Linked DNA regions of Macaca mulatta. The protein of the gene in region 1 interacts with the protein of each later gene in a biochemical or structural test. Links are inferred from orthologs where the notes say so. Each region holds a gene or a part of one and is shown in the gene's direction. Other genes may lie near its edges.

Region 1 (4,208 bases):
CCTGTGGTGACACCATCCATCCATCCAGACTTCTCTCTGGTGTCTCTTGGTACTTACTTTGTGCCCAGGACAAGCTCAGGAGCCTCAGAAGAACCGTGTAGTTACGGTCCATGCCCTCCGGAAAGTTAAAATCTAGTTAGGGGACATGGAACTGATGCTTATAGTGAAGCTTATCAAAGAGAAGACATTTATCTGGCCAAATACTTGGAGCTCATTATTTTATATGTTAATAATCAGAGGAGCTTTTCTTATTTCCAGGAAGTTGTAGGCCACAGGCACGAACAATTAGATCTCATTGATTAGCCTATTAGAAGGGATTCATTCTTTGAGTTATTAGACCCCACACTTAATCCCAGAAAGCAAGCTGAAGTCATTTGAAGGCAGAGTAAAACAGGACTCCTCCTTATTTAAAAGAAAAAGATGTTAAGGGAATATTGACTGAAGTCTGTAAAATCTTAAAGGAGATAGGTTATACAAAACCAAAATAACATCATAATTGTATTACTAAATTTCCAATTATTGTACACATTTGAAAACACAATGATGTTTCATTCTAGTCAAATATAATTCAATAAATTCCCATAATTCTATTTTGTTGTGTCTTAATTGATTAAATATCTGTTTAGAAAATTCTGATCGAAAACAGATGTATCTTAAGCAGTTTTTTTAAAACAAAGTATATGTTTTACATATTTGCTTTTACTTAGGAAAAAAAACTTACTTAGAAAAATACAACTTGGGTGTAGTAGCATGTGGTATAAACAACGGAACTATTTTACCTTTTACTTTCCTATGAATGAGCCAGTATATATTTATTACTGGAGTTCCAGCTATAAAATTTAGGTAAGGGGTTTAAATATACCCTAGAGTATTATTTAAAAATAAATTTGTTTCTTTCAAATAGAATACCAACCTTGGTCTATGGCATTTGGGAGAGAAATTAAAATATTAAATTTTTATTACCCAGTAAACTGAAAATAAAGGTTAAATAAATACAAAGCAGAAAAAATATATACAAAATCACAACCTCTAAAAGGACAAACAGTCCACTGTTCTCTACTGTGGAAGCTTTATCAGCACTGCTGAGTAATTCCACCTCTAGGGCAGGGCTAGCTCTCAAAAATATAAACAAGTATGTACTTTGTTTATATAAAGAAATGTACAGCTTGGTTTGTATTTCTTTATAGATATCAAACAGCTAAATGGATTGTTTCAAAGCACCAGCAGGGGCCAGCAAAGAGCTCTTAGAGTTTTTCAGAACAGAATTGGCATTGAGATATGTTTATTTGATGTGTTAAATCCTTTTTAGACTTCTTTACTTACCACAACACTCTGTTAAGTGAATGAATTGCAGAGACAGTGGAATAAAATATCCTATGTGTTCAAACTATCTTGGAGTATAGTTTTCTTTTTTCTAATCTGCATATATTTTTATTGGAATGTTTGCTTAGGCTATTTCTTGGCAGAGTTTTAATAGTCAAAATATAAATGGCATCATTTAAAGACTGTTCTACTTGGCTGGAAAAGGCCTTAAAATTACAGGAGAAAATGCTTAGTGACAGCTTCTCTTAAACTTTTTTTCTCGAACCTATGCTTCAGTTTTGCAATGGTATTACTAGGTTAATTTTGTAGTTCTGTCCTTAAGCTTTCACTTTTTATGTAATTAGCACTTTAGAAGCTAAAATATGTATCTGTTTGATGTAGTGCTAAAGTTTTAATTCATCCTAAAGTTTTGGTATTTCCAAATTTACAGAACTGTTTGAATTCACAAATTAAAAAAAAAAAAAATGAACAGTCCCTATATTAACTAACTTGACTAGATTCCTAGTATGACTACTATTTGGAAATTCAATCTTTGATTTGATACTTAATTACATGGGGTTTCGTTCCTACCAACTTCCTGTAATTCTATACCTATGGGTAAAAATATTAGTGGTCAAAGTTGGCTGGAGAAAGTATAGGCACTGCGATTCACATAGTTAAATGTTCATTTAGTAGAGCTGGGGTGAAAAAATACTGTTTCAACATGAAATGTTAGAAGATTGTTGTTCTTGTGTTACTCATTCATGCAAATTGGAGAAGGTATAATTGAAACAAGGTTGGCTGTGTTTGAGTCAGTGTGCTGCAGCTGAGCTCAGCTTAAAGGTCGCTGGAAATCAAGTGCTTTATAAGTGAAGGCATTTTGACTACAAGCGATTCAAGACATTTTGGAAACGTCAGTCTCTGGAATGGGTCGTCTTTTTCTTCCTATGATATCTGGTATCTAATGTTTTACTTAGGATAAAGACTACTACTTAATAGCTCTTTTAGGCACCACAAATGATTTTTTCTTTTGATGCAGTGCAGCTGCTTCTAGCCTGTCTACGGACAGAGATCTTTGTTATGACTTTCAGCCCTTAACATGTTTGGAAATGAGAACAAATGGCACAAAGCTTACGATTGCACTTTGCAGCCAGAAGAAGCAATACTTACCCTTTGTCAGAAACCTCCGGAGATGACTTGGATAGCCATGTTCACATGTGCTTCAAGAGACCAACACGGATTTCAGCGTCTAACGTTGTTCAAATGAAGCTGACTCCCAGACAGACTGCACTAGCTCCGTTAATAAAGGAAAACGTTCAGTCTCAAGAAAGATCGTCTGTTCCCTCATCTGAAAATGTTAATAAAAAGAGCAGCTGTCTACAGATTTCACTACAGCCAACAAGGTACAGTGGATATCTTCAGTCTAGCAATGTCTTAGCTGATAGTGAGGATGCTTCATTTACTTGTATCTTGAAGGATGGTATTTACAGCAGTGCTGTGGTCGATAGTGAATTGAATGCAGTGAATGATGGTAACCTTGTAAGCAGTCCAGCCATTTGTAGTGGTAGCCTTAGTAACTTTTCAACCAGTGATAATGGATCTTACAGCAGCAACGGTAGTGATTTCGGGTCATGTGCAAGTATCACAAGTGGAGGTTCATACACTAACAGTGTCATCAGTGACAGTAGTAGTTATACGTTGCCACCAAGTGATGATACTTTTTTGGGTGGAAACTTACCTTCTGACAGCACCTCCAGTGGAATTGTGCCAAACAGGAATACTACTCCATGTGAAATTTTTTCGAGAAGTACAAGTACAGATCCTTTTGTCCAGGATGACTTGGAACATGGATTAGAGATTATGAAATTGCCAGTGAGCAGGAACACAAAAATTCCACTAAAACGTTGCTCCTCCTTAGTCATTTTTCCTAGGAGTCCTTCAAATACCCCACCGACTTCTCCAACAAGTCCATGTACTCTTCTGAGCAAAGGATCCTATCAAACTTCACACCAGTTTATTATTTCTCCTAGTGAAATTGCACATAATGAGGGTGGCACTGGTGCTAAAGGATTTCTTTCAACAGCTGTCAATGGACTTCGGTTATCTAAAACAATTTGTACCCCCGGAGAAGTAAGAGACATACGTCCGCTTCACAGGAAGGGCTCGTTACAGAAGAAAATTGTTCTTTCGAATAATACTCCCAAACAGACTGTCTGTGAAAAGTCATCTGAAGGATATTCTTGTGTTTCAGTGCATTTCACCCAACAAAAAACAACTACATTAGATTGTGAAACAACAAATGGTGATTGTAAACCAGAAATGTCAGAAATTAAGCTTAATTCTGATTCAGAGTATATTAAGCTCACGCATAGGACATCTGCATGTTTGCCATCCTCCCAAAATGTAGATTATCAAATAAATATCAATGGAGAATTGGAAAGACCAAATTCACAGATGAACAAAAACCATGGTATTTTACAAAGAAGTATTTCATTGGGAGGAGCTTATCCAAATATTTCCTGTCTATCCAGCCTTAAGCACAATTGTTCTAAAGGGGGACCATCTCAGTTACTCATAAAGTTTGCATCTGGAAATGAAGGTAAAGTGGATAATTTATCAAGAGACAGCAACAGAGATTGCACAAATGAACTGTCTAATTCTTGCAAGGTAAGTTTCCTTTGATCTTGGTAAATATTAATTTATACAAGAATAACTTAATGAAATATTTGGAGAAAATTTATTGTTATAACCAAGCAGTTTTATATATTTTCCTGGTCCTTAGCTAGCAGTACTTTGTAGTCATAAATTTTATATTTGTAAATCTGAAGAACCCTATGTATAGTTTTTTACTGTATTTGTTATTTTACCAGTGTGCAAAATGTGTATTTTTAAAAATCTTCCGAAGT
Region 2 (3,999 bases), on another chromosome or scaffold:
GGGAAAAGGAACAGGATCAGAGGGGCATGGGCAGGTATCAGGCCGTTAACAGTCTGCTGTCACCATGCATGTGTGCGGCAGATGTCTGTCTCCTCTCCAGACCCTGCACCCTCCCAGGAGTCAAGGAGGGTGTCTGTCATTGCTGAGGTCCAGGCCTGGGGAGGAGGACAGCCTGGAGGCTGGGAGAGCTGTGTGGCTGAGACCCTGGGCCACCCGCAAGGGTCTGCCTCCCTGGGCAGATCCTCAGCAGGTGCTTGGCTGAAGGCCACAGTTTGAGTGCTGGCAGAGCTGCTCCACAGGCCAGATATGAAACTGGGCCCCAAACCCTTCTCCAGGGTCCATTTTGCATTAGTCTAAAGAGGCCGTCCTGGGCTTGACCTTGGGCTTCCAGGATGACGCCCGCACCTGCTGTCCTTCCTCTCTGGTTCCCTGCCCATCTCCTTCCTTCTCTGCAGATTCCACTTCCTGGGTTCTTCCCTCAAGTTCCTGGACCCCCGCTGGCTGCAAAGTGGAGGCCAGGTTCCAATTTGGCCTCAGACTGGCTAAGCCTGGTTTCGCCAGGGGCTTAAGACAGACTTTCTACATGTGACAATGAGATGGGTTCACATAATAGCCTGGATTCCTAGCTTCACTGAGTCACCACAGAAACAGTGACAGCCCCTCAACAAGGCAGGCCTAGGTCACCCCCTACTCATGCCTCACAGGATCCTTAGGCTTCCCTCCCCTAGGGGCTGGGTCCTTGAATCTAAGCGCTCCCCTTCTTAGCTCTCCTGTTCCCCAGGCCCTCAAAGAGCCAGCCTCCCGGATGCCCCCACGGAGCCAGCGCCTCTCCCTCACTCTGCTGTCCCGGAGACTGGCTCCCTGTGGTAAGCCAGGCTTGCAGAGGTGGCTCCTGACATCAATCTGGCGGCATGTGGCTGCTGTGGGAGACACACACTGGCTGAGGACAAAGGGCAAGGGCTCATGGCTCTACCCACGACTGGAAGAGTGTGCCCCAGCCCTTCAGATAAGGCCCCACCTAGGCCTTCATGCCAGTCTGCTAGTCACCCTGCCAAGGACCCAGAATGTCCTTCCCCAGGTGACACACCCTACCTACAGATAATTCTGCCCCAGTCATGCCTGCCCTTGATAATATACGCCACCACCGGGGCCTCTGCCCCAGCCCTCCCTCCCCTGTCCTGCAGTCTCCCCGCAGAGTCCCTGGGTGATGGGGCTCTGGCCCTGGAGCCCCAAGGCCAGCCCAGGCCTCTGCTCTGACAGAACAAGTGCGGCAGGCGGGCGCGCTGGCAGAGCTCGGTGAGGGTAGCTGAGGCTCGGAAGGTCCGGAAGGGTCCAGGTCCTCCCAGCCTCCTCAGCCTCTCTGGGGTGGCGCTCCGGGACAGGGAAACAGGGAAGCAGGTGGCAGGGAGGCCAAGGGGGCAGGTAGCCTCAGCCCGCTTAGGCCTCCAGCAGGCAGGCAGGCAGGAGGCCACTCTCCCAGAACCTCCAGGCTAGGGGAAGAGCGCCTCGGAGGGCTCAGGCCCTACTCGGCCCCACCATCGCCAAGACCGGTCAGGGGGGCGGGGGGCGGGGGGTCGGTCTGCACCCTCCGCCTGCAAGAGCGCTGGGCGGACGCGGAGGGCGGGGGCCAGCCCGGGAAGCTCGGGGTGCGGGGGAGGGGCTGGGGCCGCACAGGAGCGCAGGGCAGCAGTGGCCGGGCTGGCTCAGGACGCCTCTCCCTCCCTCCCCCGCTCCCATAGGCCGGATGCTGCCGAGGCGTTCCGGGCGCCCGGGGGTCGGCGAGGGAGACCCAGGACCGGGTGTCACGCCGGGGTCGCCCAGGCCGGCGCGGGGCTGCGGGAGGCAGGGTCGGGGGAGGGCGGGTGGGGGGATGCCTGACCGCCTAGCGGTGCCCTCGCGCCTGTGTCCCTCACGCCGGCCCAGGTCCTGCCCAAGTGGCTGTGGCTGGCGTTCCGGGACCTCTGTGACCTTGGGTCTGTGCCGAGACCCCCACGGGTCCCCAGCTCAGCTGCGCCCGCGGAGTCCGGTCCGGGGCACCCACGGGCGCGGCCAGCGCTGGGCGGGCAGGCGCAGCCCGGGCCCGAGGAGGACGCCGCGGCTCCAGCAGCAAACAAGTGGGGGAGGGTGGGAGGGGCGTCCTCCGCGCCGCCCGGGCGGGGAAGGGGCGCCTGCGTCGGCTTCCGGCCGCCTCCCGCGGCCACCGCCGGGCCCGCTCCCGCCGCCGACGCCCAGGTGCGCCAGGTGCGGGCCGGGCCGGTCGGGCGGGGGTCGCGCTTACCTTTCTGGCCGCTGAGTGCCGCGTACCAGGACAGCGAGAGGAAGGCGCACAGGCAGAAGAGCAGCAGCGTCAGGAAGGTGCCATTGCGGAGCCTCATCTCCTCCGATGCGCGGCGGGCGCCCGCGGGGCCGAGGCTGCATGGCCCGGGGAACCGGGGCCGGGGCGCAGGGGTCGGAAGGCGGCGGCTGCAGGGGCCCCGGCCCCGGGGCGGGGAGGGGCGGGGGGGCCGGGGCCGGGCAGGGACCGGGCCGGGGAGCGCGCCTGCCGCTTCTCAGGGCGCAAGCTTTGTGCCCTGTACTCAGGGAAAAGGAACAGGCTCAGAGGAGCAGAGGCAGATATCAGGCTCACTGCAGGTATCAGGGGCGCGGGACACTGGCGGCCTCGCCTCCGCGGCAGGGCCGGGCCAGGCCGGGCTGGGCTGGGCTGGGCGGCGAGAGCCGCGGCCCGGCCTGGATCTGGGGCCTGGATCTGGGGCCGCCGCGGAGTCGACGGCGCAGGGCGGGGCGGCCCGGATTTAAAGGGGCCGCAGCACCGCCGCCGCCAGCGCCGCGAGGGGCGGGGTGGGGGCCGGCGCCCGTGATCCCGACCGGCTCCCGCAGCCCCGCTTGGGCTCGTGCGAGTCGGCCTTAGGTAAGGCCGGAGTGGGAGTGCGGGTCGACCGCAGCCGGCGCGGGCGGCGGGGGCGGCGCTCTCGGGCCCAGGTACTCTTCTCGGCAACATCTCCTCCGCGCGCGGACCCCGACCCCACTCGCACGTTCTCTGGGCTGTTTCCCGAGCGTGAGGGGCTCTGGGTGGCGCGGGGGACTGGGCGCTTGGAGGGGACTGGGCGCTTGGAGCCGGGAGCCACCGTTGCCTTCGGCGCCGCCCAGGGCGCTTTCCCGCTCAGGAGCTTCCTCTGGGGCGCGGGACTGAGACGCACAGGGGCCCGGGAGGCGGGAACAATGGGCCGTTCTAGGGGGAATCAGGGCCAATGCTCGTGGGTGCAGAGGAATGACCAGCCCAGAACCGGACCGGCTTCCCGGGACAGTGGCGGCCCAAGCGCGCCGCTTACGGGAGCAACGGGCCCTGCTCCCGGTGGTGCAGCGGCCACCTCGCCCCGCGCAGCCCAGCCGGCTCTTGATAGGGGCCCACGCCTTCGGATTTTTGTGGGTTTTTTTTTTTGAGACAGAGTCTCGCTCTGTCGCCCAGGCTGGAGTGCAATGGCGCGATCTCGGCTCACTGCGATCTCAGCCTCCGGAGTAGCCGGGATTACAGGCGCCCGGCTAATTTTTTTTCTTTCTTTTTTTTTTTTTTTAAGACTTTGGGCAGCGCCTGGCCCGCTCCCAGCTTGGACCTCCCAGTCCTAGGGGCCCGGTTCCGGGTGGAGGCTGCAGGGACCTCTGCCCCGCCCGCTCGGGGGAGGCCTGAGGGGCTGGACTCAGACTGGGAGTGAATGCAGCTTTGTCTTCCTAGTCCAGCCCCGGCCCACACCTGGGGCTGGGTGGAATCGGGAGCTTCTACGGGTCTGGACAATTCTCCCACAGAGAGATTGATGCCAAGAAGTGGGTGGCCGAGCCAGAGGCCGAGGTGGGCTGGATCCTGAGGCCCAGTGTTAAAGGACAGGGCTCCCCATTCAGTGCTCCTGGAACATTCCGAACTAGAGACTGGGACTTGTAGGCGCCTTCTAGAGGAAACTCGTGTTTTCACAGGTGTCTTCTATGTGTGGCAAAGGATAATGGCTT
Region 3 (4,160 bases), about 150 Mb from region 1:
GGCTGCAGACTCTGTCCTGAGCACTGGGCCGAACCTGCTGCCTCTGTCTACATCTCCTCCCACCCCCTCCCCTGCTGCCAGCTGAAGTCACTCAGGCTGAAAATAAAAATGCTCCCCCCACCCCAATACTTAGCCTCAGGAAGGTTAACTCACAAGAGTCCCTCTTTCACAAAAGGGTTATTATCAACTGTGGGCCTCTGGAATGGGGGAGGGGCAGTTGTTGGAGGAACTTCTGGCTGGGAAGGGGTCGGGGTGGCAGTCACCTGCATCGTCCTGTGAGTGTGCAGGAGAAGGGGGTCTATGTCCCATTCACTCACTCCATACTGGGGCCATCTGCCTCCCAGTGGACTTCGGACTGGGTGTCGGGGCTGACCAAGTCCACCCAGCAGGGAGGGTCCTGGGCTCTCAGCTGTCACAGCCCACCCTAGACACCGCTCCTCCTCTGTCTGGTGTCTGCTCCCAGCTCAAGGTGGGACCCAGGCAAGGTGTGCCCCTCTTCTCCCACTCCCCAGCAAAGTCTCCCTTTTGTGAGTGTAGCTGCCAGTACCTAGGTGAATGGTTGAGTCCCCTCGGAGCCTTCCCGCTCCTTGGAGGCACACCTCCAACTGACCTCCGCACTTCCCCCAGAGGCACAAGGTCCTGGGATTGGGCCTTTTAGGACACTCTTGGCCGTCCCCTCCACGCCCCCCAGAGTGGGGCAGTGCATAGGTGGGGCACGGCCTGAAAGTCAACCTAACCCACCCCCGCCCCGCGCAGTGGAGGCAGAAGTCCGGGATTCGTCCCTGACCGGTCTCGGGCCTGGTCTAGTAGGGTCAGGGCAGAGCGAGTCCAGAAGCGCCGGGTCACTTTACAGATGGGGAAACTGAGGCCAGAGAAGGCGTGGCCCCGGGACGGGCTGGCTGGTGGCCGGGCTCCGTTAGCGGCCCAGCCCAGGCCCTAGGCCGCCGGGGGCCGCCCCTCAGCCCAGCCGCGCGCTTCCCGGGCGCGCTCCGCCCTCGCCGCGGGCCCGGGCGGCCGCGCGGTGGGGACGCCCCGGGCGGCGGAGGCGGATGTGGGCGGGCGGCTCCGGGCGCGGGGCGGGCGCGGGGCGGGGAGAGGGCGGGCCGGCGGCGGCGGCAGGACCGAGCGCGGCAGGCGGCCGGCCCAGCGCAGCCAGCGCGGCCCGAAGGACGGGAGCAGGCGGCCAAGCACCGAGCGCCGGGCACCGGGCACCGAGCGGCAGCAGCACGCGAGGCCCGGCCCCGAGCAGCGCCCCTGCCCGCCGCGGCCTCCAGCCCGGCCCCGCCCAGCGCCGGCCCGCGGGGATGCGGAGCGGCGGGCGCCGGAGGCCGCGGCCCGGCTAGGCCCGCGCTCGCGCTCGGACGCGGCGGCCCGGTGAGTCCCCGCCCGCCGCGGCCGCCCGGGCCCGGATTTCCTCCCCGCGGGCCGGGCCGCTTTGTTCCCGGCCGGTCGGGCCGGGGCGCGAGCCGCGGCGCCGCCAGAATGGAGGAGCGGGAGCAGGAAGTGGCCGAGCGGGCCTGGGCGGGGAGGGCGCGGGGCGCGCGGGCCCGGCCAAGGGAGGGCGGCCCCACGCCGGGCGCCAGGGGTGCAGGCTGCCGGCCCCAGCCTCCCTCATGACCTTGGGGAGGCCGCTCCACCCGGCGAGGCCGGGGCCCGGGAGAAGGGGCGCTGCCGGGCCTGGGGCTGGGGCTTGGGGTGCCCCTGCGGGCCGTGGGGCTCCCCGGGCGTTGGGCCAGCGAGACAGCCGGCGGAGGTGCCCCGGGGTTAGGAGAAAGGCTCGCCGCGGCCGGCCTTCAAGTTTGTGGGAGGGCCCCGGAAGGAGACTTCATTTCCCACGGACAAAAAGTTGTACGTGGTGGCGGGGTACCCAGGCTAGCCACAAAGGACTGACCCTCCTGGGCCCCGGAACTGCTTCCTGTCTTGGGTGGGCCCTGGAGGTCCTGCCTGCTCGTCCCAGAGGCCGAGGCTTAGAGGGCAGCTGGGGCTTGCCCCTTAGATTGAGTATCCTGGGGCGCTAGCGAGCCTTGGTCCTGTCGGGACGGCCCCTGAGTGCTGCTGTGGTAAGCGGGGTTGGCTTGGGCCCCTGCTCTGTAGCCAGAGGCCGCCCCACATTCACTCCTGGGTCTCTTGGCCTTGCTCCAGGTGGCCACTTCTTGACTGCTTTGAGTCCCTCATCCAAGCAAAGGGCGGAGTGCATTGGTGGAGGCCCGGTTCCCTCTCCCCGGAGCTGTATAGACTTCTCATACACCAGGGTTCTGGAGGCAGATGGAGGAACCCTTTCGAAACACAGAGTATTTTTTTTTTTTAAGTTGTGACTTAAATAATAACAGCAGCAAGAATATGTGCTTATGGTAAAGGCAGGTGGCAGGTACGGAGGCTGTGGGAAGTTGGGGTCCCTCCGCCTCCACAGGCAGCCCTGTACTGGCCTGGTGTATATGTTTCTGTGCAGACGTACACCACCCTGTGTGTGCACAGATGTATTTTTACACATGGCTCTGGACAGCTGTCTGACTCTGTCAGCAGCAGGCCTTGGAGGGACGCAGGCCCTGGTGGGGGGTGGGGGGACATCCAGAGGTCTTTGAGTCCAGCCCTCTGCCTCCAGGCCACGCCCACTCTGTCGTCAGAGCCCCCTGTGCCTGAGGCGTGCGCGGCTGGGAGCCCTGCCCTCCTCAGGTCTGGCCTGCTTTCCATCCTGCTGAGTACTTGGGGCATTTCCCTCTTTGAGCAAGGTGTAGTCTTCCCTGTCCTGGCATTAGACACGAGGCAGTGGGCCTTCCTGCCATTCTAAATGTAGCTTAAGACAGTCAGTGCAAAGCACCCCTCTGTGGGTGTCCAGCCCAGGCCTCAGGAGGCCAGAAAGGTTGCCTGGCGGGAGAGCATCTTGGCTGACTGTGGAAAGACCCATGTTGGGGTCCATTCCACAGAGGTCGTCAGGTATCTCTGCCTGGCCTGGAGGTCCCAGAGAGGACCCTCCTCCCCTCAGGAAGGCCCGTCTGGAAGGGTAGCAGAGGACTGCTCACAGGAAGAGCATGCCAAGTGCTCTTTCTCGGGATGCCAGGAGTTGGTGATGTGGGAACTGGGTTTTGAGGGATGCCTAGGAGTTCATCTATCAGAGGGGAAATGAGGAAGCCATGCAGGATCAATGGATAAAGTGTGCTCAGGTGAGGGCTGGCTGGTGGGCCACTGCAGGGTAGGGGCCTGTCCAGTGCTCCCCCACTTACTTGCTGCCTCCCGACTGCTGTAATTATGGGTCTGTAACCACCCTGGACTGGGTGCTCCTCACTGACCGACTTGTCTGAACCTCTCTTTGTCTCCAGCGCCCAGCACTGGGCCTGGCAAAGCCAGAGACGCCTGGTACACGTTGGCCAAATGAATGAACCAGATTCAGACCGGCAGGGGCGCTGTGGTTTAGGAGGGGCCTGGGGTTTCTCCCAGGAGGTTTTTGGGCTCGCCCTGGAGGGCTCTGGGCTGCCGTTTGCGCCAGTGGCCTGTATCCTGGTCCAGTCTTCTTCATGTTTGAATTTCTTTGCTTTCCTAGTCTGGGGAGCAGGGAGGAGCCCTGTTCCCTGTCCCAGGATCCATGGGTAGGAACACCATGGACAGGGAGAGCAAACGGGGCCATCTGTCACCAGGGGCTTAGGGAAGGCAGAGCCAGCCTAGGTCAAATAAGTCTCAAAGGGACTGCCTGGAGGAGGCAGCCTGTCAGCTGGTGCATCAGGTTAGGCAGGCTGGGAAGGCCTTTTGGGGATGGGGATGATTTGTCCAAAGGCTCAGGGAGGTGGGAATGGGGAGGTGAGCAAGGCAGCAGCTCTCAGGGCCAGGTTGTTGAGGGGAGTGGTGGCAGGGGCTGGGGACTCAGCCTAGAATGAGGAGAGGCCCAGGTCCAGGGAACTGTGTTCAATTACGTGGATTTTACACTTGGCAGCTATGAGTGTTTTGGGGGGAGGTAAGGCAGGCCGGCAGTTGGGGGTCAGAGAGCCTAGAGGGATGGCAGCCCACCTGGGAAGGCAGGTGCAGGTGGAGCCCCCAGGCACGTGCAGTGGGTCTCCGACTCACCCTGGGCGAGGAGCTTCCCTTAGCCTGGCATGGCCTCACACTCAGCTTCCTTTGCTTCTCCCAGAGGCTGTGGCCAGGCCAGCTGGGCTTGGGGAGCGCCAGCC
Region 4 (4,106 bases), on another chromosome or scaffold:
TTGTTTACGTCTGCGGGGTGTGCCTTTGTCTAAGTAGAGATGGTGTGTGGCTTCTGCGGGCTTAACGTGTGGCTCAGGAGGCAGTGGGCGTCTGCATCATGTATCCCGATTGCGTCTTACTCGAGTTTTGTTTTCTGAGTTAGAGGCGACAGGTGGTGCAGCATTAGACACAGGGAAGCTCTGTGGCTTTTGTATTCATGAGCGCGAAGGTTAATGACGGATCCGTGGGTTTGAGCTTGTCAATACAGACGCCAGACAGCCCGATTTACGGGAACAGCCGATTAGAGGATTGGAGAGGGCGGTCGGTGAACTTCTGGATGTCTTTCGTAAGGGGAAGGCTCTATGGTCGCGTGCAGAGCGCCCGTTCCACGTCAGGCACCGACCATAGAGCAAGGCCGCCGCGGACTACCCAAGGGAAGGGGAGGCCGTGTCCTTTACAACTAGCCTCCCGTTGTTAGTCTAGTCTCTATAGTCAAACCTTCGGGACTCTCTAAAGTCAAAATTTTGCTTTTACTAAAGGCAACTGGGTTCCTTCCAGATTACGAACTGTATATCCACTTAATATCTATTTCGTATACCTCCTCCTACAGCGAAATTTGTGAGGCAGTCCTCTGAAGCACGGCCAATCTGGGGCATTTTTCCTAAAACGAGCCATCTCTACGCTTTAGTGAGCTAAGACAATAACTGCGATTGGTGGGCAGATTGTTTTGAAACCGCCCTAACGGCAAGGGGCGGGCCCCTGGTGAATTCATCTCTTTCCGGTTTCTTAAAGGCAACAGGAAGGAGGGGTTTCTGACGACCCTCCATTTGATTGGTTCTAGTGGTTTTACCCGCTCGGACTCCTCAAGGGGCGGGAGATATACACCAATCGGAATGTGTGTTACAGAGACACTTAGTTTGATGAAAGGACTGCGCAGGAAAGGCCGTCGGACGCTCATTCTGAGATCTCACCGCTGATTGGTCCAAAGGGTTACTCCCTTATTTTCATTGGGCTTTACTGCAGCCGGCGCGCGAGAGCTACCCAATCAGCGCACGCTCCGCCTCCTGCCTTTTCCCGCCCTCCGCTCCGGCCTCGGCTTCGACGTAGGCCAACGCTTCCTACCCGGTAGCTCGTAGGCCTTCTCGTTGCCGTTGTTTTGAAAACCGCACTCTGATTGGCTAGGTTTCCGGGCCCGCGCCCGTTGCCCCATGCACTGACCAATTGGCACTCGTATTACATCGGACGAGGCACGGGTGAAGGGGGAGGCGGTGGCGGCGGCCATTTTGAGCCGCCGCCGCCATTGGAGTGGGCCCCCCCCCTTTCCCCCTTCGCCTCCTGACAGGAAAGGTTTAAGGGGGACAGAGCCCTGGGAGGCCGGGCCGGGCTCGGGGGCCACCCCGGGGGCCCGGGCCATGGATGTGCGCCGTCTGAAGGTGAACGAACTTCGCGAGGAGCTGCAGCGCCGCGGCCTGGACACTCGAGGCCTCAAGGCCGAGCTTGCTGAGCGGCTGCAGGCAGCGTTGGAGGCCGAGGAGCCTGACGACGAGCGGGAGCTCGAGGCCGACGACGAACCGGGGCGACCCGGGCACATCAACGAGGAGGTCGAGACCGAGGGGGGCTCCGAGCTGGAGGGGACCGCGCAGCCACCGCCGCCCGGGCTGCAGCCGCACGCGGAGCCCGGCGGCTACTCGGGGCCGGACGGACATTGTGAGAGTGCGCGGGGCGGGGGCCGGGGAGCCCGGAGCCTGGGCCGAGGAAAGGGCTGTGGGACGCGGGAGTCCAGCGCCTGAGGTCGGGGAGACGACCTGAGGATCGGGGGATCCCGCTACCCGCCGCCGAAAAGGATCTGGGGACAAGGGCCCCGGCACGACCGGAGGGTGGATCCAGACGCTCGGTGCAGGGGGCACACTGGGGGAGGGGCCTCTGGGTTTCGGAGGTGAGGGACGGGGGTGGCGGGGAGGATTCCTTACCGTAGGGATCGGAGACCGGAAACTGGTTTCTGGAGCCGAAGAGAGTCGGAAGAACAAGAGGTTTTCCATTTGGGTTGGGAGGGTCTCGAAAATGGAGATCTTGGGGTTCGGAGCTCCTTGGGCTTGGCGGCCTGGCCAGCCCAGCGTGTGGGCTGCGGGGTGGGGAGCCGTGTTTCCAGGGTGGGGAAAGAATGTCCAGGTGTGCGGGGCTGCGAGAGTTTTGAGGAAGCAGAATCCTGGAGTATGCCGCTGGATGCGATCCTGGGAGTTCTCCTATTTGCTTCGGGGGTGGGTGGGTGAGGTGGAGGCGCTGGTGTCTGTGGCTGGGGAGGGTCTAATGGACTCAGTGCTTTGGAGTTTGGCTGGTGAGCATTTAGGGGCTGCGGGAGATTGAACGAGGGGGCACCCCCATCTCTCTTCCGGGGCTGGAAGGCCACCCTTGAAGCAGGCACAGCCTGGACATTTGGTGCTGGGAGATCTGGGGACTTTCTGGTTGGCTTCTAGAAGAGGTGTAGGGAGCCCTGGTGTCCAGAGGCTGGAGGGGGAGAGGATTTTTCCCTCAACAAAGGATCTGGGGGTCTAGAGCTAAGAAGACTGAGGACAAATAACTCTGAGGCTGCTGCTGAATGGTCTAGAGCTAACTGTGGGCTTTTTGGAGAACGGGGTAGCTGCGGGTGGGATGGGGGCAGATGAGTTGGTAACATTCCAAGTGGATGAAATATGTGGCAGGAGACAGAGGATCCTGTGTCCAGCACAGAAGGAGTATGTATCTGGCTTAGCGAATATGGGGAGGGGGGAGGCTGTAGGGAGCAAAGAGAAAGAAAACCTGTTGACTTCACTGGAGGCCTCAGAGTGGAGTGTGGGGAATGTTTCTGGACCTGAGCGTCTCCCAGAGATATGGTCGGTTCCCAGAAGCAGTTATTTGTGTACCCAGGGAGTGGGGGCCTTCAGCGGGAAGCACAGAACTCTGCATCAGCCAGGAGGTGTGACTCTGGGAATGGGTTCGGGTAGATCTGCGGTTGTCTGAGGAGAGGAAACCCTGGTATAGGACGGAGTGAATCTTCAGTTAGAAAAAAGCAACTTTCGGGCCGGGTGCAGTGGCTCACGCCTGTAATCCCAGCACTTTGGGAGGCCGAGGCGGGCGGATCACAAGGTCAGGAGTTCAAGACCAGCCGGGCCAACATAGTGAAACCCCATCACCCGTCTCTACTAAAAATACAAAAATTAGCCGGGCGTGGTGGTGGGCGCCTGTAGTCCCAGCTACTTGGGAGGCTGAGGCAGAAGAATCGCTTGAACCTGGGAGGGGGAGGTTGTGGTCAGCCGAGATTATGCCATTACACTCCAGCCTGGGCAACAAGAGTGAAACTTTGTCTCAAAAAAGGAAAAGGAGCTTGCTTTCTTTCTCTTTTTTAAAAATACAGATGGGGTCTCGCTATGTTGCCCAGGCTGGTCTTGAACTCCTGGGTTCAAGTGATCTGCTCACCTCAGCCTCCTGAAGTGCTGGGATTACAGGCATGAATCACTGCACCAGGCCTCAGGGCAGGTTTCTAGTAGGACTGGGAAATGGGGGGACTGGAAAGGTTAAGGAGTAAGTAGAAGGGATTCTGGCGTAAGAATTTGTGGAGTTTTTCCGAAAAGAGGGCACCATGGGACTTGGGGCTAAGGGAATGAGGACAGAAATGAGGTAACAGTGGAGACAAGATTTGGGATTGGCATTGGATACTTGTTCATAAGAGATAGAGTTTCCCGGAGGGAGATAACTCGAGTGTGGATTTGGGATAGGCAATGGCCTAGAGATTATCTAGGATCCAGGTGCTGGAAAGAGAACTTCCCATTGCAGAGACTTGTGAAGAAAGGAGTGGGCCTGTGTGTGTGTGTCTAGAGCAGGAGGGACCGTGGCAGGAATGCCTAGCAAGAAAGGGTAGTGGGGTAGTAGTTACCTGGTGGTCTGGCCAGAGAGTCGTCTCTGAGAGGAAAGCGAATTAGGTGCTTTGGAGCGTAGATTCTAGACTCAGACAGACTTCGTTTCAAATCTGGCTTAAAGATATTGGCAAGTCACTTCATCTCTGTGAGCCTGGTTTCCTTACGTGTAAAATGGGGTTAATCAACAAATAGTGTGTTCGCTCTAGCCCCCGGGGGTGTTATGAATGAAATCG

The links.
Region 2: of the proteins of NEDD4 (region 1) and SQSTM1, one has a biochemical effect on the other in vitro, tested with the Homo sapiens proteins (2 studies listed by BioGRID). The link is inferred for Macaca mulatta from reciprocal best matches to the Homo sapiens genes NEDD4 and SQSTM1.
Region 3: of the proteins of NEDD4 (region 1) and AKT1, one has a biochemical effect on the other in vitro, tested with the Homo sapiens proteins (3 studies listed by BioGRID, with this or other methods). The link is inferred for Macaca mulatta from reciprocal best matches to the Homo sapiens genes NEDD4 and AKT1.
Region 4: the proteins of NEDD4 (region 1) and HNRNPUL1 form a complex in vitro, tested with the Homo sapiens proteins (2 studies listed by BioGRID, with this or other methods). The link is inferred for Macaca mulatta from reciprocal best matches to the Homo sapiens genes NEDD4 and HNRNPUL1.

The regions. Positions count from the first base shown.
Region 1 is NC_133412.1:33,224,973-33,229,180, reverse strand, and holds the start of NEDD4 (E3 ubiquitin-protein ligase NEDD4), read left to right. Parts: upstream 1-1,408; 5' UTR 1,409-2,421; coding exon 2,422-3,969; intron 3,970-4,208. UniProt on the Homo sapiens protein: E3 ubiquitin-protein ligase which accepts ubiquitin from an E2 ubiquitin-conjugating enzyme in the form of a thioester and then directly transfers the ubiquitin to targeted substrates. Specifically ubiquitinates 'Lys-63' in target proteins.
Region 2 is NC_133411.1:188,804,053-188,808,051, forward strand, and holds the start of SQSTM1 (sequestosome-1), read left to right. Parts: upstream 1-1,199; 5' UTR 1,200-1,296; intron 1,297-1,879; coding exon of another isoform or gene 1,880-2,375; exon of another isoform or gene 2,376-2,652; intron 2,653-2,741; exon of another isoform or gene 2,742-2,979; intron 2,980-3,999. Other genes in the region: MGAT4B (alpha-1,3-mannosyl-glycoprotein 4-beta-N-acetylglucosaminyltransferase B), read right to left, coding at 1,880-2,375. UniProt on the Homo sapiens protein: Molecular adapter required for selective macroautophagy (aggrephagy) by acting as a bridge between polyubiquitinated proteins and autophagosomes.
Region 3 is NC_133412.1:178,232,774-178,236,933, reverse strand, and holds the start of AKT1 (RAC-alpha serine/threonine-protein kinase), read left to right. Parts: upstream 1-1,360; 5' UTR 1,361-1,374; intron 1,375-1,581; exon of another isoform or gene 1,582-2,060; intron 2,061-2,513; exon of another isoform or gene 2,514-3,161; intron 3,162-3,538; exon of another isoform or gene 3,539-3,718; intron 3,719-4,120; 5' UTR 4,121-4,160. UniProt on the Homo sapiens protein: AKT1 is one of 3 closely related serine/threonine-protein kinases (AKT1, AKT2 and AKT3) called the AKT kinase, and which regulate many processes including metabolism, proliferation, cell survival, growth and angiogenesis.
Region 4 is NC_133424.1:52,406,366-52,410,471, forward strand, and holds the start of HNRNPUL1 (heterogeneous nuclear ribonucleoprotein U-like protein 1), read left to right. Parts: upstream 1-1,306; 5' UTR 1,307-1,392; coding exon 1,393-1,687; intron 1,688-1,861; exon of another isoform or gene 1,862-2,055; intron 2,056-4,106.